Oreochromis niloticus: one gene and its partners. The protein of the gene in region 1 purifies or fractionates together with the protein of each later gene. This does not show direct contact. Links are inferred from orthologs where the notes say so. Each region holds a gene or a part of one and is shown in the gene's direction. Other genes may lie near its edges.

Region 1 (7,555 bases):
AAGTGCATGCGGGAAACTCCATTTGCTGCTCCGGGTTCAAAGACTCAAAACCCGCAGAGAGCAAAAGTAGCGAATAGTTCCATGCGGCATCTATTCCCGCAAGTGATAATTCTGCATTGTATCAGTATAACATGACAGTGGAGTTGTTGCATATTTATTTGTCTGTCTGCTACCATCCGTTTGTTAAATTTAAATAGGGTTTTCTCACAGCAGACATTTTGATATTGCAGATTGCCTCATAAACACTCATTCCCCTGGGACTAAATGGCACACCTCTCTGGCAAAGCTGAACAATGCAAGCTGTCTAATGTATTTAAATATTATGGTGTCGTTCTGTCCACACCCAATGTATTTCTCGTGCCTAGTATGAAATTTCAAGTATGTGTGTGGCAAGGAGTTTTAGTCTAATTAGTAATGAGAAAGATTTTTTTAAATAAGAATTTCCCTGGAAATCGAGACTAAATTGTTATTCATACAACATACATCTCAGCCTACAGCGAACACCCTACAGTGGAAAACTGTTAGGGGTGTAGAGGAGAACATGGCAGAAAGACAAAGTTTAATGCTAGCTGGGTACACAAGGATAAGGCTCTAACAGTTTTTTTTTTCCTTCTGGTGAAGAAATAAAATATTTGCACTTTGAATGAAACTATTGGGTTATACTTTTTAAACTTAGGAGCATCATTCACCACTCATGCAATGATTAGGACAAGAAAGTCATAAAAATTTAAGATGTGTCAAACATTTTCTTGATGGAAGCAGGTAAAAGTGGAGGTGTGAATTTAGTAATACTCAGGTAGATTTGTGGCTTTCAGTTAATTAAACAACCTTAGTGACTACATAAGAGTAATTAGAACTACATAATGTCCTGGGTACATTTTATTCCTAGGTGTGTTGTTTTCACCTTCCATTCTGCTGGGTCGATTCGGGCCCTCGGGCCTTATGTTTCACATCCCGGTTTTAGAGGAATGCTTCCAACAGAACTGGGTCAGCCACACCTCCTCAGTGACTTAAAACTTTTAGTCCCTGGTGTTATGGATGGGCCCCAGGGGTCCAGGCCCATCCAAAAAGGTCAGTGCACCCCCTCAGCTGAATTCTACTGGCATAGTTTTAGCAACTCATAAAGAAAGAAGCAAAAAGAAGAACAATTTTAGTAAAATTAAATCCTTCAGTTTGGTCTTGAAAAAGACACCTAAATCACTATTAAGCTATTACAGTAAAAAACAAGCTCATGTTACTTATTTGATTAATAGTAGCTTAGTGACTACGAAGTAATCTCAGTAGTGGGGACACTGATTTTTGGAGCGAATGGGCCTGTGCAAGTCGAACAATGGGAAGAGCCCCATATGACTCTCTGGAACAAAACAAAGGTCATTTTTTCGGCTTGTGTAGTTTGTGGTGGATATTCTTGTGGTTTAAAGTTGGTTGTTTGTTCTTGAATTTGTTGTGTACTTTTAAAGGTGGCCCAGCTGCCCCCATATTTGCAAGGGGTCATTACAGCGAGTAGCACCAGATTTCTGATTTGTCAGGCCCTTCTTGACACAACATCAGATGGGTTGAAACAGGGACCTTTTGCTTGTTGGGTGAACGTGTAAAACTCTACACTATGGAGTGTATAGGTTATTATTATACGGGACTCCCTCTTACTGTAACATTTTAAATATACCCTTAACCTTTTATTTTTAGCTATGCATCTTATTTTACCCTCTGTTTTTAAAGTGCAAGTGCAAATGTGCACACAGTGTATAGGATAAATGTACCTAAATGTCTCTGAAGATGTAACTTATGCCTAATATTTTTTAGGCGTGGTCTGAATATTTGTGAATCCAGGCCTTGGATTATTTTAGCACTGACACCCTGGTTGTACCTGTTAGACCCAGACAAACTACATTGTTAAGGATTTCCTTAGTACATGATGGCTGACTGATGACTTTGGAAGTCCCGGTACAGCTCCACATTCTCTTAATGGGAGTCATTGCCATCTTGAGCAGCTGTAAACGGTTGCTCAGGCTCATTTTACACTTTGAAACCTTGCACCCTTTTGTCAAAACTCTAAACAAGTAAATTCACACAACTTCTGTCAAATCTTACTAACACATCAAGTTTTGCAAGTTCTCAAAACCACACAGTGTTGTCAGATCACACAGGGAACCATTCAGAATAATCATACCACACATGGTACATTGCACAATACACCTAGGACGTAAAATGTAAACAGCTTTCAAAACATGTAACTCAAGTCACACACATACTGCCATCCACTCCTCAGCTTCCCTTTTATTTACCAAGTCATCATTGTGGCAACAGAGGATCTGCTGAGAAACCAGTTTCGTTTTATTCTCATCTAACAGAATTATAAAAAAAAATTAGAAACCATATAAAGCTGTAGTCTGGGAAAATGTGAAACACTTTAATGAGTACAAAATTGTGAGAAAATTAAATCACCTACTTCACACTTCTGCTGTTTCTTCTCATATGGGTTATCAATTCGTGCACAAAAATGTGTGTTCTTCATCTTATTCTTCCTCCTGTGCCTCTCACATAATTTCCACCACCCTTTGAGCCATTTTAGCAGGTGTCTTTATATCTTATATCTAGAATTTAAGAAATGACATCTGTGCTGTAATTGTGATTAATGTCTGCTTGCTGTTCTTGACGTACAAATGCAAGTGAATCACTGTGGAGAAATTTATTTTTTAAGGCTTTAAGCTTTAGTCTCTTAACCTATAGCTTTAATAGAATTATACATGTAAAAGTAAAGAGTGTTGACAAAGGTTTATACATTCAGACCAATCGAATGTATAGCCAAAGACATATCCAAAGTTGTGGTTTTGCAAGATACACAAACTGCTATATACAAAATAAGAAAAGAAAAAAATCAAGAAAAGCAGGCTTTGGATCTTTTGATCTAGCGATGTTGAATGTTTTCAGTTCATATGTTCAACAGGTTGGATGCCAGTTAGAAAAGAAAGAGGAATCCTGGATTAAGTTGGATGAAGTGATGGAGAGTGGTGACTGAAGCAGCGTTCAGTGGATATGTAGGTTAAAAGTTGATCAGAGGTTTTGGGTTAAGGAAAGAAATGTGAAAGCACTGATGGTAGTGGGTCGAGAAGAGGGTGGCATAAGAATGGAGCAAACAAACATGTAGAAGGTGTAATCTGAAAGAGACAGGAGCCTGCTCAGTGGTTTCAGGGGAGAATGTAACTGGGCAGTATTAGATGGTAGTCTGTAAGATGAGTTTGGACATCAAAAAGAGGAAGCAGTTGAAGGCAGAGATAATCACTGAATGGTGGAGGTTGAGGAAGGAAGAATGCTGTGCAGAGTTCAGGGAAGAGTTGAGGCCAGCTCTGGGTAATAGTGAAGAGTCATCAGATGACTGGGAAAGTACAGCTGTAGTGGTGAGGGAAACTGACAAGAATATATTTCATACTTAGTGTTGGAATGAAAAAATACAGGAAAGCATTCAAAGGAAGAAGTTAGCAAAGACAAGGTGGGATAGTAAGGGAAATAAAGAATGTAGACATGAGTACCGGTAAGCAAGGTCTACAGCAAAGGAAAAGGCTTATAGTGAGATGCACGTGAGAATGGACATTGAGAAAGGAGAAAAAGACTTGTTCTATCAGCTAGGCAGAGCCCTCGACCTTGAAAGGATGTGCAGCAGTTCAGGGTGATTAAGGATAGAGACAGAAATGTACTAACGAGTAAAGAGGGCTTGGAAGGTGGAAGGAGTACTTTGAGGAGCTGATTAATGTGAAAAATGAGTGGGTGAGGGAGGATGCATGAAGGACAGGAGGACAGTTGGTGAATCGGGAAGTGCAAGGGATTAGTAAGGAGAAAGTGAGGGTAGGTGTAGAGAGGATAAAGAGTGAAAAGTGGCTGGTATAGATGGTTTCTCTATACCTGTTGGAGATGAGCAGTGGACTTTTTACCCAGATTGTTTACCTTCACGATATTCAAGAGTGAGGGTGATGTGCAGAACTGCAGTACTTACAATAGATGAAGGTGAAAATAGATGGACATGTTTAGAGGAGGAATAATGATATAGAGGACACGGAATGCTGAAGATGGACCTAGTGGGCAGGAAGGAAAGAGGAAGACTACATAGAAGTTTAATAGATGTAGTGAAGAAGGACACACAGATGGATGATGATGATGTTAGGGATAGGATGAGATGGAGACAGGTGGTTCTCTGTGGCAATCAGAAGAAGATGTGGGGTTCCTATTTTTCATTAATTGAAGTCCTTTTAAATTAAATTCTTTAAGTCTCTATACTTTAAGGTATTATAACATATTAAGACTAAATAAATACAAAATTATTCTTTACCTTTACACTTCATTTTTGTTCTGACAAATTTAAAACGATGATGTTTTGAAGAGAAGTTACAGTGAGTCATTTATTTTATTTTATTTTATTTTATTTTATTTTATTTTATTTTAATCTAGTCGAAGGGAAAGGAACAGCACTCTTGTGTTCCGATTTCCGGCGTCGTCCTGTTGACGCAATGACGTGATGACGTCAAACGGAAATCTGTAGCTCCAATTCTTTCTAGAATTCTGTAGCACTCTCCAGCCCGCTGTCTTCAGGGAGGTTCATCTGAGTTTGTCTACATCTAACACAGCAAGAATCTCTTCTAAAGAAACAAATACGTATTTCTGCGCAGTGCGGCGATTTTGCGGTCTGTCCTCGTTTCAATCAAACTTGTTAGCTTCTCATAGCTCACGAACGTAGCCGAAGCCTATTGTAAGCTAACGGTGTTAGCTTTGGGGTCTTGGTGTCAGGATGTCCAGGATAGATTACAGCGTGTGGGACCACATTGAGGTGTCGGACGATGAGGATGACACCCATCCAAACATCGACACACCCAGCCTCTTCAGATGGAGACACCAGGTATACCAATAAGCCACGCATGATTACAATTAAGATGCTACACATAAAGTAAAAGTGGTGCATATTTGACTTGAACTGTTAGCTGACCTCGTGTGTTTACTTTGGTGCTGTGTTCACTTTTAACATAAATATAGGAATGTTTAACTTTTTGCAACTAAGTCCATATTTGACAAAAACAAGTAGTAAAGATTTTATGTTTTGACCTCAGGCTCGTGTGGAGCGGATGGAGGAATTTCAGAAGAAAGGTGAAGAACTAAACAAGGGACTGTCCGAGTGCAGACGCAAGCTGGCAGACACACAGAAGAAAATCAAGGAGCTGACCATTTCAACGTCAGAAGATGCCAAAGCAGAGTTGAGCAAAGTTCAGGCTGAGGAGAAGAAACTGAAAAAAGAGGAACGGGATTGGGAGAGAAAGGTGGGAGACTACCAACGGGAGGAGAAGAAGATGCCATGGAATGTAGACACGCTCAGCAAGGATGGGTTCAGCAAGGTGAGGTAGAGTAAGTGGAGCTTAAAAAGCACTACAGGTTTTACATCGCACATCATTTATTACACTCTTTTTTTTCTTTTTTTTTTTGTCAAGTATTTTCAGGAAAACAAAAGCTAACAAAACTGTTGTGTCTTTTCTCCGTATTTCTTCTTTTAACTTGTGCAATTGTTTGTTTGAGCCTGACATCCAAGGGAAAAATTGGCCAAAAACATGATCACCACATGTCCCCCACAACAGAGCCATTAGATCCCCTCAAAAGTTCAACACCTTGTTCACCTTGCTTTATCATCCATTCTACTCCTATACCACTGTGCCCATCTGTCCTGCCTTAGAATAAAATGTGTGAAAGGACATGGTACTTCAGATGTGGCTTCAGCTGCCATCACCTGCACTGATCCTTGGCTCAAAGCTGGAAGTATCACCAGTTACTTAAGAGTAGACGTTAGACTGAGGGAAATAGGAAAGGGCACACATACAGAGTCGACTTTTCTGTTTCAACATTTACAGTTGATTTAGAGTTCTGTGTTGAGTCTTTGCAGATCCTACAAAGCAACCTCCACAAGGATCCAATACTCTCGCCAGCATTCATGCTTGTGCGTAGTGTTAATTACCTGATAGATTCAGCAAGTATTAAAAAAAAAGTAGCCAGAAATGCAGAGGAGGAATTGACAGTACTGAACAAGCCAATACAACTGTTGTTGTTACGACATACCTACAGTGTAGATTCAATGCAGAAGTCTACATCTACTGTCAGTCTTTGACTTTGTAACACAATGAAATCTTTTCTTGCAATTTTCAGGTATGGGTTCATTAATATTAACATCTCTAACTTGTATGCAATGACATTCTTTCTGTAGAACTCAGAGACATTGTCTTTAATGAGTCCATTCTTCCACTGTTCTTTTCATAGAGTATTGTTAATGTCAAACCTGAAACTGAAGAGACCGAAGAAGAGAAGGAGCAAAAGCACAAAACATTTGTGGAGAAATATGAGAAAGAGATCAAACATTTCGGTAAGCACTCGCATGCATCATTATTTACTCTCGTTATAAGGTACTGGTGAGAGTAGAGATGCTTCTTCATTACTCTCGTTACTGCAGGCATGTTGCGGCGTTGGGATGACAGCCAGAAGTACCTCTCTGACCATCCTCATCTGGTATGCGAAGAGACTGCCAACTACCTGGTTATCATGTGCATCGACCTTGAAGTTGAGGAGGTAAGTAATACAAACAGAGCTTGTTTGTCATGAATTCCTTCTGCACGTGACCATACTGCATCTAAATATTAAGCTGTAAAAATGCTTCTTCCTTGTGCAGAAACACGCATTGATGGAGCAAGTGGCTCATCAGACCATCGTCATGCAGTTCATTCTGGAGCTTGCCAAAAGCCTCAAAGTTGACCCCCGTGGATGCTTTCGCCAGTTTTTTGCAAAGATTAAAGTAACTATGTTTTTGTTGCTTTTATTTAACTTGGTAGCTATAGTATAACTTTTGAAAAAGTTTCCAGAGTGTGATTTATTGATTTGGTTTAGTTTTTGTTGTTTGAAAATGTTTAGTTTTAGTTTAGCTTCTATTAGTTTTAGTCTTTTTAATTATTATTGTATGGAAAGTAAATGTCAGAGTCAAGGTTTAGGAGAATCAGTACAGGCACTGCAATTTGGATTTGGACCTTATAACTTATTCAGTGACCTAAATATGGGGTGGAGTTCAGAGACCTGGTATTAAATTGAGCTCAAGGCTAAATTATTAAAGATGATGGCATTGGCATGGTTTGGTTCCAAGGTACTTAAGAAAACGGTTTCCTATTTGCATAAATGTTTCCGTGAACGTTTTACCTCACCACGTCTGTTTTATTTGTCTTTCTGAGTTTGTTGGCCAGTCAGGCTGAGAGCTCTTTCTTCCACACTTTGCAGTGGCATGCAAACCAAGCTCCTGTTCTTATGGCAGGAGCTTAGAGAAGTTAAGGTTAAAAAGTTTGGTTACACTTTACTGGAGATTTACCTGGCAATGGTCACTACCACATATACCACATATCCAAAAAGACTTGGCAGAAAAATGCAAGTTCTCAGATGCCTAGCTTTAGTTTATCTTTGCCTAGGTTAGGTATTCACTGTTCACTAAAGCCAGTTTGTTTTACACAGGGATGGATTTAGGTTGATTCTGTTCATCTTGATTCAG
Region 2 (7,843 bases), on another chromosome or scaffold:
ACCCTTTTTCTGTACATGAAGTTATTGTAAAGTATTAGTCATCCACTAAATAATTTCCCTCCTGACCTGATTAGAGCCCAGTTCAGTTAAAAAAAAAAAGTTTAAAGTAATGATACCCCCGCTCCACAGACTGAGCTTGTTCAATGAAGGTAAAATGCAGAAAAGACCACAGAGCGTTGTTATTGGAGGAAATCTCTCATGTGTCATAAACAGATATATTCAGCTGCCATTTTATTAGGTACACATAGCTTAAAAGTACACTCTGTCCTAACTGTCAGTGAAACATCCTTTCATAAAGCAAATAAGGGAAGTTTTGACTCTGTGTTATGATTAATTTGAATGTCGCAGCTGGTTTTATAATACTGATAGGTGTTTCTATCACTTTGTTCATTGAGATCAACAAAATGAAATGCAGAAACCAATTTGGGATTTTTAACATAAAAAAATAAAATAAAATAAAGTCTCCTTTACAGTTGCGTTCTGTTTGAGATTTAAATTCGATATTTCCTGTGGTAGTCTACTTAGAAAAGATCTGATGTATATATATAAAAAAAAAGTCTTCAGCTGATTTGAAATGATTTCAAAAATGTTTCATTTTCTCCAGGACTCCAAACAAGCTATTAAGCTCCCGTTTTTCTTTTAACTCAAAAACAAAAAGAAGTTAATATCTTTCAGGACAGTTATACAAAGTGATAAATGTCAAACATAACATAAAACACACCAAAACTGAACTATGCTGACAATAAAACACAACCTTTTAAGGTTTGTGTTGACATGATGAAAATAGTACTGCTGTTATTCATTTATTTGGGGCCCTTGGCAGACACAACAGTAAAGAACTCCTGCTTCGAGGGGGGGGCAAAAGTTCAGGGATAAAAGGGATCACTCGGGAGATTACTCCCCTGTACATAACACGGATGCCTAGAACACAAACAAAGAGCATTATGTTGCTCAGCCTGTAGCTGCAGAGCGCATGTTTGTGTGACAGCAAGTGCTTCTTTAACCTCGCCCTCACATTTGCCTTTTGCTTCACCAAATGAAGCATTAAGCTGCCTTTGTTTTTCCGTGCATATATTCCCCCGCTGCCATAGGGTTCTCCTTGTAGCTATTTAAATGAATCATCTCTTTTTTCAAGCATCCACTCAGCACAGTGTTTTTCAATCAGATTAGTACAGCACATTCTGTTCTGTTTCACTTCCTGATGACTGTGCAGCCCGTATCCCTGAATGAACTCACCCGCGTGCTTCTGGTTACACCAAGATACTCATTCAGACAGACGGATTCTTGCAACTGCCTGTCAGATTTTTGTACTTTACACAGTATTTAGCAAAATCTGTTAAGCACCTATCAGCTTTGCTGTTTACTGTTTTGTTTTAGCAAAGATTAAATGACTTTCTGATGCAAAGTGATAGGTAAGTAGCAGTAAGAAGGCCACTAAGTTCTAAAAATAAGTTACAGCTGCATCTATGTCCCCATTATATTTATATAAAACAGCCACAGACCATTGATGTAACCTTTGACCATCTAATTTTCATTTTCTTCTTCTTCTTTTTTTGTCTCTCGCCTGCCTGGGTGCTTTCACCAGAACAGAAACAAGATGTTCTTGATGTTTCAGGAAGGAAAACAACATCTCAAGCCATGTGTCACTATACATATCTATTCATGCATCTCAGTTCAGCCCAAGCCTGTTTAGGTCATTTTGACCTCCAGTTAAGCATTACAGTGTAGGGAAAAAGAAGAGAGACAAAGCAACCAGGACACCACAGTTCACGAATTTTGGTAAAACAAACAAACCAACCTTTGCCTGTGCAGGAGTTAACCGTCCTGACATGGTGTTTTATCTTAAATAATCAGTACTTTTATTTTAAAGGTTTCATGCGGGCACTGAGACATAGTGAGGTTGTGTTTTTACATCACACGACCACATCTTTCTGTTTCTGTGCTGTTTTTTTCCTCCTTTAAATGTGAATAACATGTTCTAAAACACATGTGTGTGAAAGCTACTTTCTTCCGATAACCAGATGCTCAGAAGATTACTCACCCCAGCTGACAATATCCCTGTTGCGTTTGCAGAGTCAGGTTCACTTGTGTTATGTCACCTATATAATTAACAGGATCATCATGTTCCCTCTCAATAGCAGCTTGTTGTCTGCCAGCAGTGTGGTCAGACAGTATCCTTACCACCTATAATGGTGGGATTCATCATCTAGAGAGACGAGGCTCTTTGAGCATCTCGGTTCTATAAAGAAAAGTTTTCCTCTCGCTGTCTGACATGAACAAAGTTTGGTTAACTTCTCGTTAATGATTCAGTCATGACATTAATTCGAGGCATATTTTATAGTTTTTAATGCAATAAATGTGATAAACATAGACACAAGAAGCAGCCATAAAGCGTGTCATATTTTCAGCACTGTTTATTGACATATTAATGCCAACATCCTCAACTGCAAAAGCACAAAAGCAAGGCCATAAAAATATTTTATTGCTATGGATTTTAGCTTCTCTTATCTCCAAAGTAAATGTGTCAGTAAAAAAAAAAAGGTTCATCTTAGGGATGTGAAAGAGAAAACATATTAACTATGAATGTGATAATAAGCAAACACTTGCTTTAATCAAATCAGGGAATATAAAAAGCCTAGAAAGGAGATAAAGGCAGGGCTGTTTGAACACAAGATTTCGTCAGCATGCAGAGTGTGAGTCTGGGGTTTCCACATGATGAGAGTTTTCTGCCTCCTTACAGGCTGTTTAGGAGTCGTGGTCAAAATATACTCAAACACATGCCCTTTGGAGAAGAACATGACCACTGTGAAAAGTTTGATTGCAACATAAATCAACTCCTGCTGGGTTTTTATATATATATATATCATCCTGATAATATTTTGAAATATTATATTAAAATACTTGGTGTTGTGTCTCTCATGTTCATCTCTTTTGGTGTGTGTTTAGTACTTCACTACTATTTTGACTTCTTGTATATTTCAGGTGAAAACTGTCTCTTCCTGATAACTGCGGTCTTTGTTGACCAGAACAAAATTTGACTTGCAAAGCATCCTTCATAAAATGCAATGCATTTCATGCTCACCTGAAGCAGGTTGGCTACTTTAACTTGTTATGTAACATATTGCTTCACAGTGAGCACTTTAGGTGTGTGTTAGATGTGACACTTTTTTCTAATCCTGTTAATATGGAATACATAATGAATCAAAATGACTTCAGTAACTAAAAGACATTTACAATTTTGAATATTTATTATTTTATTCTTCATGTGGATTTCCAGGTTAAAAAGCACCTCCCAAATTATAATGTGTTTATAGTGCCCCATTACATATAGTAACACTTAGACAAGGGTATTTTTTTTTAGGTTTTTACTTTAATTAAACTTTGAAGACTTTAAGAAGAACTGTACTTCACAGTAAGTAATTTTCATTTTGTAATTTACTCAGATACAGTAGCAATTATTGGACTACAGTAATGGGTTAGACAGGTTTAACATACAGGTGCTCCAGTGAGCATCCACATCAGAGTAAAATACTGACAAAATATGAAAACTATTGTATCGGGAGGTTAATGATTAATTGATGATTAATAATGATTTATAGGATGAGACAGGATTAGGCATATTCACCATCTGTTCTTGGTTTATTACATTGACTTATCATTCAGCACTTTGTCAGGGACTGCCCTTATGTTCCCTCACAATGAGTACTTCTACTTTTAATAATGACTTGTATTTTTTTTATCACAGTGCATATAGCCTATATTTATAGGAACTTATAGTTCCCAAAATTTGACTTGCAAAACAAGAGTTAATAGAATATGATGCACATTACTAGAATACCATAATACTAGAATCACACACAGCACCATCTGAACCGTGTTTATACATTTAAATGGACGCCTAACACAGGACTTTTCACTCTAAGTACATCAATATGTGTTTGTACTTTAATAAGATTTAAATAAAGAAAATGTCTTAAGTTACTGGTTTGACAGCAAAACAGCTGTCGCCAAGATTTTACTTGCAAAGTTAGTAAAACAAAAGCTAACACCTTGCAGTGAGAATAGAGAATTAGTATGTAACATGAGGAGCATACACAGAAAATCATCTTTTATATTTGACTTTATTTTTATATCTAACTTGGTTGAGTGGTATTTTTTCCAACTAGTAAAAGATCTTCATACTTTGCTGCAAAGCCGTAAACACCACAATAATGTAAACACAGACTGTTTGGGAAAAGATGACAAATGATCTCCGCCCAGTAAAAATGCCAAAATGGAAAAATACCACCAGGAATTAATAAAAGAAACAGTAGTAAAAAATAACATGCATGCGCTTTTGTTGAAGTCCTTACCCTGAAATAAGTTACAGAAAACTGTCCTTTAAGCCATAAAAGTCTCCGATAAGCAAAGACGCTACTTCCCCCCCCTTTTCTTTGTAAGTCTACAGAAACAGTGCGCTAATCCGTATCACCGCGCGTCTTATCGGGCAGTGAGGTGTGCTTTTACTTCGGTGATTACACATCCTCATCTGTGTCTGCAGGCGGGCTGTTACACAGTACTGTTGATGATACGTGTTGTCAGCTGAGCGGGGAGGACAGCCTGCTGCGGTACAGGCTGTTCCCGGCCTGGCTGTCTCGGCACGGAACGGGTTACAGGTCAGGGTGTCTATTGGAACACAGTGTTCTCATCAGCAGCGGCAGCGGTACAGCTACAGTACAGCCGGAACATTGTGTTACTTTGTGGCTGCTTTCCAAGACCTGCCCTTAATTTTACTCTAAACGTCCTCCCACAACTCTACCCCCCCCCCCCCTCTCTCTCTCTTTTCTTTCTCTGTGTGCTTCTCTGCCTCACTACCTCCCCGGTGTCATTTTGAAGTCTGAGCTCCATGTGGCTACTACTACACCGGCAGGTTTATCGTCACCGGCGAGGACGGAGATTAAAGTAAAGAGGGAGGGAAGGAGGGATAACTAGACTGAAAGAGCGCTGCTTAATAACCACATGGGCAGAACATTTAGTACCATGGATATGAGATGAGAAGGGCGGGCTTGAATTAGGTGAAAGAGACGCGCTTTTCCAATTTACCGACCGACTCGCTGAAGAAATTGTTATTATCGGATCACAAGAACATGTAAGTGATTTAATTTACTCCTCTTTATTCTGCTGCTGACAGACTTAATTAAGGAGCTAATTAAGGCATATTCATGCCTGGCTGAGTTAAACTGACACTTGTGATACATCGTGAAGATTTAGCTTCATTGTATTTAAAGACTGCTTTTTAGAAGCACACGCACACACACACACACACGCACACACATATACAAAAAGAGAGAAAAATCAAAACGTATCTCAGAATTGATGCCGAATTTTTCACACGCATGAGGTTACAGCTATATCCCACTGTGCGCTGGAAAATAAAGGCTGATAAGGCACTGCGCGCGCGCGCGCGTGTGTTTGTGGTGGGTGGTGGGGGTTAATAGGTGAAAGTATGTGTGTGTGTATGTGTGTGTGTGTAAATGTGGCACTTAGCTGCGGGTCCCTGTGGAAAGGAAGGATGAGGACAACAGTTTATATCTAGACTACGTGTAAGCCTAGGTGTACCTACATAAATTACAGGTTGTGTAACTGTTTCTGAGAATTACACCAGCAACTCTGGCGCTCGAGCATTTATTCTGGAGCACTTGAACATTACAGGATATGATGGTGGCCCCTTGAATAACTTCAAATACACGGGCGTCCCTGCATGGGTAGTTAGATTTGAAGCACAAGCAGCACAAGCAAGTCGCCCTGTAAAACAGAGGCTGAGGCGACATCCCAGAGATGAATCAAACTGCCTCAAGGTAGATACGGAATATAGATAAACTGGTTGTTGTTTTTAAAAGCACTGAAGGATATGATATGTTATTTAAAGAAAACGGGGGGAGGGGGGTTCTCTGTTACCTTTTAACAAAAACAATCTATTTTTAAGATTCGCAGTGTCAAATTTCACGTCAAACCTAATTTTTGACTTTTTCAAAAAGTCAACTCCTGTCGCTTTTTAAACTCTGCAAAGGGTTGTTGGGTGAAAGGGGAAAAAAAATCCCGTATGTCAAACAGTGCTTTGGTTCAGGATGTCTGTTTGCCATGCACATTGTGTACTCACACGTTCACATATTAATCAGCAGACTACGGATATGAGGCAGAACGTACAGATAGGCTGAAGTGTGTGTGTGTCTTTGTCTTAATATGCTCTGTTCCTGCATTCCTCTGCAAAGTAGCTGTACATTTAGTCTACATGCCATCATCTCTGTGCTGTCACTCTTTGCACACTGTTCCTCTTTACATTGTTTAATAGTTGGATATTTATCATAAAGAAAAAGCAAAAGCTAAAAGGGTCAAATTGATAGAACACACAACATTTACTTGAAATGATGCTAATGTATGTCTGCATTCACCTACTTGTTTTACCCTGTTTAAATCATATGTTAATCTAATTGTAAATATAGGTTCTGTTTGACTAGTTTAAATCACCTTGTTTTGGTTTAAAAATTGAAACTGGGCTGTACGTGAAGGGGTCTCAGATTGGTGAACACCGTCAGGCTTTGCCAGCGGGGGAACTGTGAATAGAAGGAACATTGTGTACAGACACACAAATGCACACACACATGCACGAGTTACATCTAAAACCAAATCCATCAGATATCAAAGACACAAGACAAGATGCTGCTAATGAGGGATGGACACTTTGTGCTCAGTGCACAAACACTTTGAGGGGAGACACAAGGCTGAAGAACCAGAACAAACAGTGCAAATGTCAGTAATACAGATCTTTATGGTTTCACCCTGTGGTTTGAGGCGCCCGGGTTGCGCCATAGTTTACGTTTCCTAAGATCTCATTTAGTATGAGGTCAATTTCTTTATCGGCATTCAGTACACTGGACATGTTGCTTATTGATGAGACTCAGACCAAGTGCTGTTGCTTAATGTTAGTCTTTGCAGGCTCTTTGTCGCCACAGCAGAACATAACGTAAGACAGGGCGACTGATGGAAAAATCCAGAAAACTGATGCAGGGTAGGCGAGCTGCTGCTCCTCTCCAGTAAAACAACATGCCGCCCGAAGAATGGTTATTGCCTCAAATGAAGTCTGTGGAAATTTTAGAACTGTTGTCTGATCAGCAGCTGTGTCCTTGTCACGTTACTCTGAATGGACACTAACACTTTTTATTTTGACTATTTGAAACAGTCTGTCCTGAGAGCCCTACCTAAACTTGAGCTAGAAACGTGGTGCAATGTGAGAAGATTTCTGCTTGTGACATCACTGAGATAATCTCGTATCTTTAACATCTCTGCTTAAAAAACACAGACGATACAAAGATTGCCTTTATATAAAATCCCCTTTCTCACGGCTTCCCAGCATACAGTCAGCAATTTAATCATCAAACACCAAAGCAGTTGAAGTCAAAGATTTTCTTTATTTGCTCATTCTAAAATGAATGTGTTTACATTTGCTTGTCAGTGGGAAAAATATAAATTTCAAATATATTGCGCAATACGTTATTGTGCTGCTCAAAGATTCGCTGCTCTGTAGAAGGCTTATTTGAAAATAAATAAATAAAGGAAAGACCTTAATTATGTTCAGATGAAGTATAACTCTAAGAGTCCAAACTGGCTTGATACCAAGAGGCCATTTTAGCTCAAAATGGTATACTTCTACATATACGGTAAAAACATTTTAAAGGAAGCCTTTTACAAAGGAGATCCAGCACTGTGGTGCAGCCTGGGCAAAGAAGACCACCGTAACAAACTTTCTCCCCCCACATACCCTCATAAAAATCAGTTTGCCACTGCATTAATTGGTTTACTTGAT
Region 3 (6,826 bases), on another chromosome or scaffold:
AGATCCTAACTGCACGTTGCTGGAAGCGGATGACGTATGCAATTGCCTAATGTTGATTGGTTGATAAGTAGCCACAAGGAGCAATAATGGAGTTCTCTGGGAAAGATGGAACAGTGAAAAAACACCAAAGATCAAAAAATAAAGCATCAAAAGCACAGACAGTGGCTGCAGTGAGGCTTTTCATTGTTTTTAACACTCAGTTTCACTACAGCTCTGTGCATGTTATAACTTTGCTCTCCTCCATGGCTGGCTCACGGACCAGCAACAACACAAGACACAGACTGGTCACTCTGCTTGACCATAAAACAAACAGATGAGAGGGCTCCATGAAATGAAAAGTCTGAGTATCAAAAAGGAAAAGAGAGACAGGTGGAAATTAAACTCATAGCCAAGTCCATATGAATGAAACTGCTTGACTTTATTAGTTAGCTTACTTCACTTCTAACAAAACAAAGTGTTTGTGTTAATTTGCCCAACATATCAACTATTCTAATTCAGCATTCCATGTAAAAGGGCCTCAAGTCACTTATCTGACGACCTGCTCCTAGGCAAACAGATCAGACCTCTGGCTCAGGCTCTCCCAATCCCATCTCCCCTGACATTAAGCCCCACTGATATTTGAAGAAGTAGGTGAGTTCTTTTATATCAAAACTTATCTAATTGTAATAATAATAGATTATCATTAAACCCACAAACAGAGCAGTTTTTTAGAAGTGTTTCTAGCTCTGCATATGAAGCGCCTTGGGGCAACTGTTGTTGTGATATTTGATAAAACTGAATTCAAACTGAATTGAATTGAAGTGAATATTGTGCACACTGCCTATGAACATGGTGAGAGCTTTCAGTAAGCTGAATCAGGTTCAAACCTATTTGAGTCAACTAAGTCTCAGGACAAAGAGATTTTAGTTGGCTATACTTTGTTTGAAAAGGATTCTTTCAGTTATATTTTCCAATACTTAATATTATAAATAAATTTGTTAATTATGTTAAAGTTAACATATTTGTGATTTGTATTTGTATTAAGTGTAAGGTACCAATCAGTGTAAAAAAGAAAAAGTAATCTAATAACCTTTTCATTAAAAAATTTAAAATGTAAAAAAAAATGGCTTGCACATCTCATCAATCCTCCATGAAATCAAAAATTCTATTTATCTAAGCAGAATATGTATTTTTAGGGCTTGCATGGTTTGTGATATTAAAGTGGTGGGGCCCAAAGTGATATTTTTTTCACTGTGACTCAATGACCTTGCACCACCCCTGAATGAGAAAAAAGACTGACATTCACTACATACAGAAAGCACAAACTCAAAAACTGTAAAATGAAAAGTCAGAAATGTATATATTTTTTTCATTGGTTGTTAAGGAACTGTATATATTATGCATTGTATATTGCGTTATGCATGCAGTTGATGACCTAATAGTAATATATCTTACTTTCGGATTAAAAACAATTCATGATTACAAGAATAAAAAAGACTTTCTTGCCATCTAGTTTGATTCTTTACATATGCTGAACAAACAGGATTATTTAACAAAATGTTGAATAAATATTCTGTATTCATTATAGTTGGCACCTGGTTGGGCAGGCAGCATGGACAACTGGAAAACTTGAGAATGAGCCAATGCAGAAGCTTCAAATTGATACCGTAGGTGCATTTACTAAAAATCCTGGACGAGTTTGACTCTCAGTGACCTTGACCTCAAGGTCAGAGGTTAAATTTTACGCAAATCTTGTGAATGCATTAACTTGAGAACAAGGTGATATGGCGTTGTGAAATAGATACCACAGGAATGCTTACCACGAAGCTGAATTTTTGAATTGAGCAGCAGAGTTGAATATGTGGATTTGGTGTTGTGTAATGGATTAAATGATTGAAGTGTGACACAAGACATATTAACAATTGAATAATTTATTCATTTAACAAACAGGAGCCTCAGTGGCAAATGGAAGAACAATATACAGCTACAACAGCCTGGCACCTCCTCATGCTGGCCACCAGCTTGGTCACGCACTGCTGTGGGATGGTATTCCATTCTTTAACCAGTATTTGTTGCAAGTGTGCTTCTCTACCACATCTCCCCTGTCTCATTGCATCTCTTATGTGGCAGCTACTTCCCCTGTCACACCCGTGCCTTCACCCTTGTCTGTCACAGAAACAAGGGTGAGATTGGAGTTACAGTAGGAAGACTATGCTCTGGGAAGGTTGCTGTGTCCAAGGCTGCTTAAGGACTGTGGTGTCCAACTGTGTCAACCTCTCCACGGGATCTTCAACCTGAATCTACAGATGGAGTGGGTGCCAACACGGTGGAAAACATCCTGTTCTGTGTCAATACCAAAAATAACGTGTCCACCTGAACTGAACGACTACAGACCAATGGCCCTTACATGGCACATCATGAAGATCTTGGAACAAATTATTTTACACCGAGACTATCCTTTACATGTGTCACCGAGCCCTAGCTCATCTGGCGGAATCTGGCCCTTATATGAGAGTTTTGTTCTTTGATTTTTCAAGTGGTTTCAATACCATTCAATCAAATATACTCAAAGAAAAGCTCACCATGATTCCTCCTTTGTTTCCTGGATGGCAAACTACCTGACAGAAAGGCCACAGTTAGTCAGGTTGGGGAACTGTGTTTCTAGGACATTAATCAGCAGCACGGGGACTTGACAGTGGAGTGGCTCAATTCCTTTTCATTGTATGCAGCAGAAATAGAAATGCTTGGACAACACTGCCATTGTAGCATGTATCAGGAATAGACCAGAATCTTAATATAGGAATATTGTAAAAGCCTTCAGTGACTGGAGTCACAAAAACTACCTCATATTGAACAACTATAAGACAAAGGAAATGAGAGTAGATTTCTCAAGAATCCCAGACCCCCTCTTCAGCCTGTGAAAGTTTGTGGGGTGGACATAGAGATGGTAACAAAATATAAATATCTAGATTATACCTAGATAACAATCTAAACTGGTCCCCAAATACCAACCTATACAAAAAGGGGCAAAGTTACCTCTTTTTGTTAAGAAAACTAAAATCTCTTGATCACAAGTAAAATGTTAAAGATCTTTCAGTCTATGATGGCAATTGTGCTGTTCTATGCTGCAGTCTGCTGGGGAGGCAGCATGAGTAACAAGGATGCAAGGAGACTGGACAAACTAGTGAGAAAAGCTGCCCTGGATCACAGCAGGTAAATGTAAGAAAATAAGATGTATTTAATCTTATATTCTGCCAGCCCTAAAAATAAAAGATTGTGCAGATGTTGGGTCAATATTCTGCTTAGATAAACAGAATTTTTTGCTTTCATGCAAGATCGATGACATGTGCAAGCCACATTTTTAATGAAAACGTATTTAGATTCTTCTTCTTTTTTTTTTTTTAGATTGATTGCTGGTACCTTACACTAAATACAAATACAAAATATATGTTATCTTGGAAGTAAATTTAAGTTCTAATCTGTAAAATGGCATAAAAGTATTTTTACTGCTTCAACATTTTTATTTACAATATTAAGTATCGGAAAATATAACTGAAATAATCCTTTAAATATCCATTTTCAAACAAACTAAACAACCAAACAACTGTCTTTGTCCTGAGACCTAGTTTAGGACTTATTGTTCTAGAAACATCTTTACAACAAAGAAATATTCCACACAAACACAAATTTCTTACTTTTTCTTTGTGTGTTATATCCGAACTAACTGTGTCAGTAATTCACGAAAAAAAATAGCTTCATTTTCTGAAGCTAATGTATTACGCTTCCCTACCTTTTTTGGTTTTCAGGGGACAGAATTACAATACGCACACGCTTCCTGGTGGAGCTACCCCCCTCCCCTGCGAAGAATCAAAATACATTCCTAGCAAGCCAGCTACACAAGTTGTCAAAAAGTTATGCTTGTTTGTCAAGTGGATAGACAAAAGAGTTTTTATAAAAATGGACGTTATTCCAGTTTTATTCTTACATGAATAGTAGAAAATCTCCCCATGTCCACATAACCGGCAGTGGTGACAAGTCATCTACGAAGAGTTGGATTGTTGAAGCTAAGAAAGTCCTGGTAGCTAGCAACCGGGCCAGCCAGCTAACGTAAGCTGCTATTTTAACAGGCCTCGAATTGCTTGTCTTTTTTAAGGTTGTGTTGTGACAATGTCAGACTCTGGTGAGGAATGGTGTGGTCTTATTCTGTCGTCCCAGATCTTTAATTATGCAAAAAGCTAACTTTAAACACTTCTTTTCACCAGTAGTTTTTCGTAGCAGTTGCAGAACTGAGCTAGTTATGCTATGCGGTTAGCCTTGACTGCATCAAGGAAACTGACAGGAGGCTAACGCCGATCCGTTTTTCGGTGCTTGACAGCTGGCGAAGGAATGACAATTTGCCATTTTTGAAGGCTTTAACGTGTTTGTTTTATTGAGTAGCCATGTCTCCTGACGGCATCAGTCTTAATTACGCAGTTACGGTAAAGAAATACGACTGCGTAATTGCAATTGATGTCTTGAAACCTATCTAAGTATCCCTGTGCTGATTTATTTAATATTTATTAATATTGAGCTTTTTACCTGTGTGTTGTTTGCTCGTTTTCATAGTAAGTTACTAGCTGACCTAAGCTAGTAATGTCTCTATCGTTACCACCAGCGGATATGCTTGAAACACCACCTGGGTATCCCTTTGAAGAAATCAATTATGAGGATATTGAAGTTGAGGAGGTAATTTGTGATTATTTTTGCTGTTTTCCTTGTCACTAGCGCATGACAAGAGTTAGTATCAGCTCGATGAAGCTCTTACCTAGTGAGTGTAACTTTGATGCTAACTACCTGTTCTCAGGTGGTGGGGAGAGGAGCTTTTGGGGTCGTCTGCAAAGCCAAGTGGAAAGGAAAAGATGTTGCAATCAAGACTATTGAGAGTGAATCAGAGAGGAAAGCCTTTATTGTTGAGGTATTTTTTCGTTACTGAAATATTCTCAAGATTATTTCAACAGCCTACCTGTGTGTAACCTTTCCTTTTCATCTCCAGCTCCGACAACTTTCACGTGTGAATCACCCCAACATTGTGAAGCTGTATGGCTCTTGCAATAATCCAGTAAGTTCACTGGGATCACAATGACTATTTGGTCTATTTGGTTGATTTTGAGTTTTTGATGGTGTTCTTTCCACCTCAGGTTTGCCTTGTGATGGAATATGCAGAAGGTGGATCATTATATAATGGTGAGTCAATATGTTTACTAGAAAACAGTATGGTTGTGTTACATGTTATACCATTTATTTTGCTTTGCTAGTAATGAACACGGCTTTGGACAGACACAGCCCTGTTGAGTTGATCCTCCAGTTGTTTGCATGTTCAGCCACTTTTCTGATTCGTTAGAAGTCCGTGTTTGCACAGCGACATGCAGCCCCTACACTAAATATTCAGATAGACCTGAGAACTGGTGGGGTATAAAATTGATCAGTATAAAAATCATTTGTGTGCATACAGTTAAGACAGTTAAATTAACATTTTCAGTAAGAATGAAAATTGAGTATTTAAACCTTCTGCAAATAAATCGCATACATATATTTCTTACAGCCTCATTTTCAAATAAGTTAAAAGACTTTGTCAAATGTAAATATCAAACTGTATATTTAGTTCAAAAGTTACAAAGACATATCACATACATATATATATGCGCCTCCCGGAGTATCGGGAACCAGCTGATAGGCACTCTTGTTGCCATGCAGATGATAAAACACATAATGGAGTGCATTAATCTGCAGGAGCTTCTGTCTTGCCGACCATTATTATCCCATGTATGTCTAGGCTTGTTGTTTCTTATGTTTACCCTGAGTGCTTTTATAAGCAATTTGTTATCATGTAGCAGCAGAGTCTGGAATTATTGGATGTCCGATAGGGGCAGGTTTATTTGAATTTTTACGCCTAATAATGGCCTCTCTTTCTTCCCTTTCTTGCGAAATCTCTTTTCCCCTAACTTTCATACAGTGAAAAACCATGAAAAGCAAATTCAACACTTCAGAAATGAAATATCGTGAAATAAGAGGGGAGCAGCCCTCACCTGGCCAGGAAACTACTCATCAGTTAGTTGTCTCGAAAATTTTGAACCTCTGAAAAAGGGGGACGAATTTAAATCTCGGTGACCTCAAGTGAATGGTCAAGTTTTTGAAAATGTTGTGAATGTGATAACTCAAGAGTGAAGCCATTTTTTTGTTTAAAAAAAATTGAATTAAAAATGTTTCCACTTCAGGCTCGACTGTTTGATTTATAATTCATTGTGGGTAGCGTTCAGAGACAAAACTTCAAAAACTTGTGTCTTAAACATTATGGAGGGCACTGTTAGTACTAATTTGTATCATGTTCATAAAATATTCTGCGCTCAGTTGTACTTACAATTTGCCAGAATTGTTATGGGGGCAAATTTCGCTGAATTGCTAGGTCACACTTCAGTGAGTTGGGAGTTTTCCCCTCGTGGCCATCAGGTTTGCTTGGATGAGGTTTTGGGACAAAGTAGTTTGCTGTTCTTAGTGGTTTGCTTATAAAACTGTTTCATAAACTACATTTTTGGACATAGTTTTGTGGGACATTGCAAAGATAACAAACGCTGAGAACTATTGAAAAGTCCTGTTGTTCTTGACGATATTATTACTCGCGTGTGTTTGTGCGCAAATGGAATTCCTGGTCTCCGACTTTGGCTGGCAATTGTTGTAATGATAGAAATATGTTTACACCAACGGCATCATGGTGGAGATGATTGTGTAAAAATTTCTGTGTGAAGATGATTTTGAAATTAGTTTCGTGGAATAAATTTGTACAAAATGAAGTGTAAAGTGAGTTTTTCCT
Region 4 (7,657 bases), on another chromosome or scaffold:
TATATTTTATTGCACAGACCTTTTCAATAAATTCAATAAATAGATGTAAAAACTGAAGCATATAGTATCCAAACTGATTATGGAAAGGGATAAATCCTAACATAAACCCACTGTATTATGAAAAAGAAAACCATATTAGTAGTGACCAAAGCCTCATCTTGGAATTGTTGGATTATTCAAATGCAATTGAAACCAAGAAATGTATTTTGTTTTACGGCCTTTTACTGACTTGATACAAGTGAGTCCTGATTTCTTTTATAGTCCTTCAAGGTGACAAAGTCGTATGTTTTAGAAAGATATTAATAGTTTGATTATAATTCAATTTAGGATATACCCCAAATATCTAACCAGTTTTTGTCACCGTCATCGAAGTATTGTCCGTTAGTACTAATGGTACCAATATTAAAAGTTAATATTTGTATATATGGCACTGTTATGTCACTTAGCTGTAACCAGGGCTGGACTGGGACAAAAAATCGGCCGGGCATTTTGACTAGAGACTGGCCCACCAGGATAGAGATTGAAAATGTGACGTCATTCAGGGGTAAAACCGCAAAGGATTCTGGGAACTTGTGGCAAGAGGTACTAGCGCACGCAGGCTTTCAATTGAACTCAGTTACACAGCGATAAAAAGAAACCCAAAAAATGGCAAGAAGCTGTTGTATTATTAACTGCAATAACCGGTCGCATGACAGCCAAGGGAAGCCGACGGGTAAAGAGATCGGGGTTTTTTTTATCGGATGTCGTTGAAGAGAAATTTTTTAAGCCATGTTTCCGAAGTAAGCAGTGGCGTGTCTAGAAAATTTTTGTTGGGGGGGCCAGGTAGGGGCACAGATTTGGAGAAGGGTGGCAGATGTAATTGGCAGATAATGTTAAAAAAAAAAATCTACCAACCGTTAACCATCATTCAATAACCCTGTAAACCTAATAACTGAATTTGCTTTTGACTCTTATTAGAATGAGGTTTTAACCACTACGGTGCAAAGTTTTTAGATACTGCGTTGATGAAGTACAAGAGATACAATCAGTGCTTTGTCAGTGTTTACTCAGCATTCAAGGACAGCAATATTTGCGTAGTATTTTTACTGACATATAGGGCACATATGTTTTGGGCAAAAACATTTTTGAATATTAAAATACAAACATTTTTAACATACAATTGCCAAATTAGCCAATGCAAAACTTTATCTGCCTATTAAAAAAAGAAGATGATCTTCTTACAAACTGGTGTTTGATTTTGAAACAGGGAAAAAGTGGGGTAACAAATGAAAAGACTAACATTTGAATGAAACCTGAAAGCAAGTAAATACTTTCTATGCCGCCTTATGGTAAACTTTGGTAATACTGATGTATAAAGAACAACACTGGCTGATGATGAAATACAGCTGGCATGGTGACACTGCCAGTATTAACCTGCAGGGCTGGACTGGGACAAAAAATTGGGCATTTTGACTACAGACCGGCCCACCAGGTATTAAAGCCTTTGAATGAAAACAAACGCTGTTGTGACAGTGATGTACACTGTCTTGTTGGTATATGTATGATTTCTATCAATTTTACGTCAGATAAAAACTTTGTTCGCAAGATTCAGATAATTATTTAATAAAAGCTAGATATTTTAAATGAGAATAAGTAAGAAAAGTATTTCTTTGTGCCCCCCTTTCCCTGTTAATGCCCTACCTGGCCCCCTGGCATAACTTTGCTAGACCCGCCCCTGCACAGTTACCAGCTGTCAGCTACGTAGAAAAGGATCCTGGTGTTATTTGTCTCTCAGAAACAGTTCATAACTTCCCTTCAACTCATCCATGTCACCTAAAAGGTAAACCTGTTTCTCCATCACCTGTTCAGCTCTGATGATTCAGTAAGGACATCTCCTGGTTTCATCTTCATGTTTCCCTCTCACCACATATCCAAACCGACATCATGACCAGCAGCTTTACAGCTGTGGCTCCAGCAAACATCAGCTGATACTAGAAATTAATATTAAATAAATTCTAACAACAGCTGATCAAGCTTAAACGTGCTGCTGTTGTTTAGCGCGACATCCACTGGTTTCCTCTTTCTGGCGCAAAGTGGGCGATAAACAAACAAAAAAGAAAACCCGATCAGCTGATCATTGATCAGTTTCATGATTGAAGTAGCAACAGGAGAGGGAGGGGGAGAGAATGAGAGAAGAGGAGGCAGCTGTGCAGCAAAGACACAGAATAACTCCAGCTTTGTGTCTTTTTCATTCTAGCTGAAGTTCGGGACAAACTGCGTCTCTTCTCAGCTCAATACAAAACCTGTAATATTGTCTCTGAATGAGGGACCATTTCATTTTTAAGGAGCCGTTGGCAACTCTACTAACTAACCTTATGAATAAAATAAAGTTCACCATCAGTAACATCACAGCATCCACCCAGCTGTATAGAAACTCCATCATGCTAGCTAGTACGCAGTAAGAGTTATTGTAACTGACTGTAAAAAGTCAGCACAACGAAAATAAACTCCACCTAAACTTGGTTTATATCTGACCCAGATAGACTCCAGGTCATAACTTCTTACCTGAAGTTCAGTTCACTTGACAATTGGACTGGCGGCTGCCTCGGGTCTCTCCTCCTCCTGGCTCCCCTTTCCCTCATCCACCTGCTAGCCGCCGTGGAAGCTCCGCCATGCTCGATGGCCAGTCCAGCTATGTTAAACTGTTAATCTTTCGCCGAAAAACTGTTTTCTGTGGTGCTGTCTTTCGTGCTTGGTTCTCCTACCTTTGCTAACATGATGCTCATAGCGCAGAAGCCGATGCTGTATTCTCTTACACTCGGATATCTGAGCTTCACTGTAAAAACATAATCGTACATTTGATATTTCATTGGATTTTATTGTTTTGGCTTCGGGGTGGCCAGTCTGGTTGGGGGGGTGGCCTGTGCCCCCCCAGGCCACCCCGCTGGACACGCCACAGGAAGTAAGAGCCAACGGATGGTCTGGATATACCAAATATAACATCTCAGAACACTCCAGCTCACATGTTAGTCTGCTCCAAGCATTCCCACAAAGGTCAGTGTTTTGTAGTAGTTAATACGTCATTTTTCTTAACATAATTGGTGATATAGGTTACAAGCAAGTCTGGCGCTGAACAGAAATTGTCGCGCTATGCTTCTTTATTTATTGTGCATAAATAGTGAATTGTCCTGACACAATATTGCGTTTCGCTTCTGTTATTACCATGACAAAAACATATACTTTTATTCACAGGATAAAACAGTTGTTTTGTATCACTAATTGTCCAGTGCAATTACAACATACAATATTATTGTCACTGCTACATTTCTGTAATGCGTACCAGAAATTATTTCCACTACTAATTAATTACCGTTGAGCTCAAAGGTTATATTAATAAACGGTTAACGATTGTGTATTTATGAAGACGATTTGTGAGACTGGTAAGCTTACCTTTGTTTGTACGATGGTCTTTTGTTCTACACAGTGCATTTCAAGGTCCTGTACCCATCCGTCGGTAAACTGTACCTGAGCTTGTTGCAGTGACCTGAAGTTACTAAAAACTTCAGGAGTGTATGCACTCACTCCAAGAACCTTATAATTATAAATCTGAGCGTGGTAAAAGTTGGGCAGCACGCTAACGTCCTTTGTCCACTCTGTGTGCTCATAAGGGTCTGACCCTTTCACTCCTTTGATTTTTTCCTCATATCTTTTCTTTGCCTTTTCGTCGAGTCTGTCTTTGTACGGACCGGCATTGTTCTCCTTAGTTTTGTACATTCCTTTTTTGTGCGGCAAAGAAAAACCAAGAAGATATTGGAACCGGAGAATGAACGTTTTGCGGTGCTGCAAAAGCTTGCATTTGATGCGTACTTGGATTGTTTTGCCACGAGTTCCCGGCATGCAATGCGCGAAAGTCACGTGATCTGTCAATCGCCTTTGCATGAAAACAACTGCTTTGATGTACACTGCCTTGTTGGTATATATGTATCAATCTAATAAACTTAAACCTACACCATCCTCCCTATTCTGGATTTTAAACAGTACATAGCGGAAACAAAAAGACTGCTTGGTCGAGTTAACCTCCTGAACTATCTACAACACATGGTAGAAACCTTAAATTAAGATCAAGAACACTAGAGGTGAGACATGATCATTAATTAATATTAAAATTAATAAATGACAGATTTAGTGATATTTTCATAAACACCTCCTTTCCTTTTTTTGTTCTCCATTTTCTTTAGTTCGTCTATAAGATTGCTAAACAAGGGGGAGGGTGCATCCGGCCTCCTCGGCTGTAATTGGTCCAGCCCAGAGTCGATCATGACCAATTGGCCAATCCAACACCTTTCATTATATATACCCTTCCTAAAAAAAAAAAATAAAAAAAAAAATCCATCGGCCCATAAAATCAAAAAATCGCCAGCGGCCCACCGGGCAAATGCCCGGTATGCCCGATGGCCAGTCCAGCTATGGCTGTAACTATTGTGTCTCTGTGTAATTTAGGCATGAAATCAGCAAAATCGATAAAACTGGTCATTTAAGATTTAAGCATGTTAGCTCTTTTAAAGCTTTAAGCCAGTGAGTGACAGTGATTTCAGGCTGGTGCCAAGACAGTGCAGTACATTTAACATTTGAGTTGACTGATTTTATTGGTCTGAGACTTTTAAGTCAGCACCTCATTGCTAGACTGACACAGAAAACCACGTGACTGACCTGACACATTCAATTTTAGCATGTAAGTCAATAAATCAATTATAAAAAGGATAATTTATTGTTCTAAATCCATTTCATGATGGTTTCTGTCAGATAAAATGCTGACATTTTGTAAAAGAAACCACATTTTTGTTTTAGTTAACAGCCCAGTTTATGTTAATGTTTTAGATATAATGGGTAATCCATTTCAGTTAAAATGGGTCACCATTTGAGTTGAGTTTCAGAAGATGTTCTATTAATTCTAATAAATAATGGGATGTGAAACATTTCAAACTAGCAAGACTTAGGGGTTGACAGCCTGAAAGACTTAACTCAGGGTGAAATTTTCCCTCTTATTTCCTGAGCTAACAACACTCGCTTCAGCTTTAACAGATAGCTCAGCCCATGTTAAATACGTTCAGTCCGTTGGAATAATATTACAAACCAGGTACAATATCTTTCTGAAGACAGACAGCTCGTTAATGTAGTTCTAGTTTAATGTCAGTCAACAAGTGCCTAAGATTACTTTGTTGCCTTTTTGGTTTGTTATCCTAGCTAGCCCATTAGCTAAGTCGCTAGCTGTTTAGCGCCAGCTCCCTGACGCTGGTTTAATTACGTTAAATACCCTTACTAACAATTTGTATGTGACTGACAGCTGTGTTGTCTGATACTCTACGCGACTGGAGTGAAAAAGGAGATTGGGTAAGTAAAGTTTCCCATAGTAATACAGCTACATTACCTATCAGATGGGCTTAGTACGGGGGGCATGTTTGATACTGTTTGTTTTTTTTGGGGGAGAAAATAACAAGTTTATAACGTTACCTATAACACAGCTGGTGCGATCTGGTGCTTTTGGCTAAAATTGGCGACTGGCGTTTATACTTTAATTAATCTAGATTTGTGTCGAGTCCATTGCTTCGGTAGTGCAGATGACGTAATGTTTTCCTCCATTCCTGTACGTGAGCTCAAAAATCACTTGCATTTTATCGGTGACTCATGACACAGACGTCTATCGTCAGGTCAGATACCCATCACACACACAAGCTGGACTTGGATTTAAACGTTGTATTAAAGTGAAAATGAAAGTTTGCAGCCTGGGCCGCCTAAATGGCGCTGAGGCCTGGTCTGCCATGTGTCATGTGATGAAGAATGCCGGGAAGGTCATCGGCATATTGATGTTCAATATTAATAACGCTTTAATTAAACAAGAAATGTGTGTATATGTGGTGTAATGTTGATGTTTTTCTGCAGTGATGGTGCAGCCACAACCCGATGGCCCCATGCAGTGGGAGATGTCCGGAGAAGAGAGTGGAGCGACCCTCAGGGTCCCACCAGAGCTTGCAGCCAATGAAGTGGTGACCAGATTGTTAAGTGACAACCAGCAGCTTAGAGGTAAGCGTGTTCACACGAAAAAAAAGGTCACTTAAAAGAATATTGCTGTACTGAGTGATGAGCTCAAACAGCAGACTCAGAAAGAAGAAGGAAGAAAGAAGCAAATCTTGTCCCTTAAAAACCATTTTAGAAGCATATTTGTGTGGTTCATCATTTTAAAGGATTTATCTACATTAACTCTTGAATTCAGTGGTCACTGGGACATACAAACTTTATGCAGAGATAACAAATACTTCAAAGGTTACCGACTTTGCTCCAGGAAGCTTTTTTCCCCCCTAGAAGTTCTGTTTCTATCAGCGTCTTTGCTCTTAAAGTGTCACATCTCATTCTTACAATGTCTCTGGTGTTAGTCACATTTGTATGGTAAGGTGAAGACCCTACAGCATAATAGAGGGAAAACCCCAAAGAGCAGACAATCCCCTATGAGCAAGTATCTGATGATGGTGGTAAGGCAGAACTATCATTTAACAGGAAGAGTCGTCCGATTTGTACATTTGTAAAAACCTCAATCTATTTTCAGATTTCCTAGTGTAATAAAATCTACAGATGTGTGTGCAGATATTAATGGCTGAAAAATAGACAGTTCATGAGTTAGAGATATACTTGTGCCGCTGTAGATGTAAATATCTGTGAGAATGCTTGTCTCTAACTACAGGTCATTTACACACTTGTACACTCATTTCCAGGTCTCAGTTTGCAAGCAAATGTTACTAAAGATTTACCAATTCCTTTATTCACATTTACAAATTAGTAAGCATTTATGGAGACCTAATGATGCATGCAACGAATAAAATAGAACAATTCTTCACACCTGTTTGCAAGGGTTTTGACTACAACAGATACCTCACAAAGCAGCAGGATCCCCCTTTACCTACACCACAAATACAGACAGAAAAGCATAAGCTAGATCAGCAGAAACATGGAGGCGTTTCATTTGCATCACTCAAAGTGTTTGCTGGACACTGGTCACAGTGTCCAGGTGATATTACACCACCATACACACCTTGTGAGTCACAGCACTTTAACTGTGTCCAGTATAAAGTATCGGTATGCTTTCTCTCTCAATATAAGTGCACAAAAAACTACTTTATTAATTTAAGTAATGTGGTGTGTTTACTGGGTACACATTACTGTTTCAAAGGAACATTTAAACAAAGTATTTTTAGTCATTCACTGTTGAGTTTATAGAGTGTAAAGAGGAAGATTTCTATATTCAGTTATACAGCAAACTCTATCTGAAGTTAACTAGAATTAGCTGGCGTTAACCTCTATGTGCTGCAGCTCATGTAAATTACTTCAACTGAGAAATGTTTTTACTGCTAATAAAGTTGAACATTTATTTTGTCAACATTTGTATAATGGTAAACATGACTAACATACACAGTAGCGTAACAGAGGAAGGCAAGGAAAGAGTCAGCAAACTCAGTCTGTATCATTATTTAAACTCTATGCTCATGTTGACATGAGCTACTGTTGTTAGTCAGTTAGGAAAGGGTGTAATAAAAATAAAAGTCATATCTGATTGCATTTCCAAGAACTGAGCAAGAGTTTGTAAAAGTATAATTAGATTTGATGTGGCAGTAGAACAGTGTTTCAG

Evidence for each region.
Region 2: the proteins of hsp90 co-chaperone Cdc37 (region 1) and fkbp5 purify together in Homo sapiens (affinity purification with mass spectrometry; 5 studies listed by BioGRID and IntAct, with this or other methods). This does not show direct contact. The link is inferred for Oreochromis niloticus from reciprocal best matches to the Homo sapiens genes CDC37 and FKBP5.
Region 3: the proteins of hsp90 co-chaperone Cdc37 (region 1) and map3k7 purify together in Homo sapiens (affinity purification with mass spectrometry; 6 studies listed by BioGRID and IntAct, with this or other methods). This does not show direct contact. The link is inferred for Oreochromis niloticus from reciprocal best matches to the Homo sapiens genes CDC37 and MAP3K7.
Region 4: the proteins of hsp90 co-chaperone Cdc37 (region 1) and ikbkg purify together in Homo sapiens (affinity purification with mass spectrometry; 7 studies listed by BioGRID and IntAct, with this or other methods). This does not show direct contact. The link is inferred for Oreochromis niloticus from reciprocal best matches to the Homo sapiens genes CDC37 and IKBKG.

What each region holds. Positions count from the first base shown.
Region 1 is NC_031969.2:24,153,380-24,160,934, forward strand, and holds the start of hsp90 co-chaperone Cdc37, read left to right. Parts: upstream 1-4,546; 5' UTR 4,547-4,780; coding exon 4,781-4,888; intron 4,889-5,096; coding exon 5,097-5,378; intron 5,379-6,288; coding exon 6,289-6,391; intron 6,392-6,478; coding exon 6,479-6,594; intron 6,595-6,694; coding exon 6,695-6,817; intron 6,818-7,555. Other genes in the region: cmc4 (cx9C motif-containing protein 4), read left to right, coding at 1-77. UniProt on the Homo sapiens protein: Co-chaperone that binds to numerous kinases and promotes their interaction with the Hsp90 complex, resulting in stabilization and promotion of their activity. Inhibits HSP90AA1 ATPase activity.
Region 2 is NC_031970.2:16,195,738-16,203,580, forward strand, and holds the start of fkbp5 (peptidyl-prolyl cis-trans isomerase FKBP5), read left to right. Parts: upstream 1-4,840; 5' UTR 4,841-5,128; intron 5,129-7,843. UniProt on the Homo sapiens protein: Immunophilin protein with PPIase and co-chaperone activities. Component of unligated steroid receptors heterocomplexes through interaction with heat-shock protein 90 (HSP90).
Region 3 is NC_031980.2:29,212,190-29,219,015, reverse strand, and holds the start of map3k7 (mitogen-activated protein kinase kinase kinase 7), read left to right. Parts: upstream 1-3,824; 5' UTR 3,825-4,086; intron 4,087-4,153; exon of another isoform or gene 4,154-4,457; intron 4,458-4,584; 5' UTR 4,585-4,611; coding exon 4,612-4,704; intron 4,705-4,822; coding exon 4,823-4,933; intron 4,934-5,011; coding exon 5,012-5,077; intron 5,078-5,156; coding exon 5,157-5,202; intron 5,203-6,826. UniProt on the Homo sapiens protein: Serine/threonine kinase which acts as an essential component of the MAP kinase signal transduction pathway. Plays an important role in the cascades of cellular responses evoked by changes in the environment.
Region 4 is NC_031984.2:33,182,194-33,189,850, forward strand, and holds the start of ikbkg (NF-kappa-B essential modulator), read left to right. Parts: upstream 1-4,643; 5' UTR 4,644-4,711; intron 4,712-4,971; exon of another isoform or gene 4,972-5,323; 5' UTR 5,324-5,370; intron 5,371-5,919; 5' UTR 5,920-5,921; coding exon 5,922-6,060; intron 6,061-7,657. UniProt on the Homo sapiens protein: Regulatory subunit of the IKK core complex which phosphorylates inhibitors of NF-kappa-B thus leading to the dissociation of the inhibitor/NF-kappa-B complex and ultimately the degradation of the inhibitor.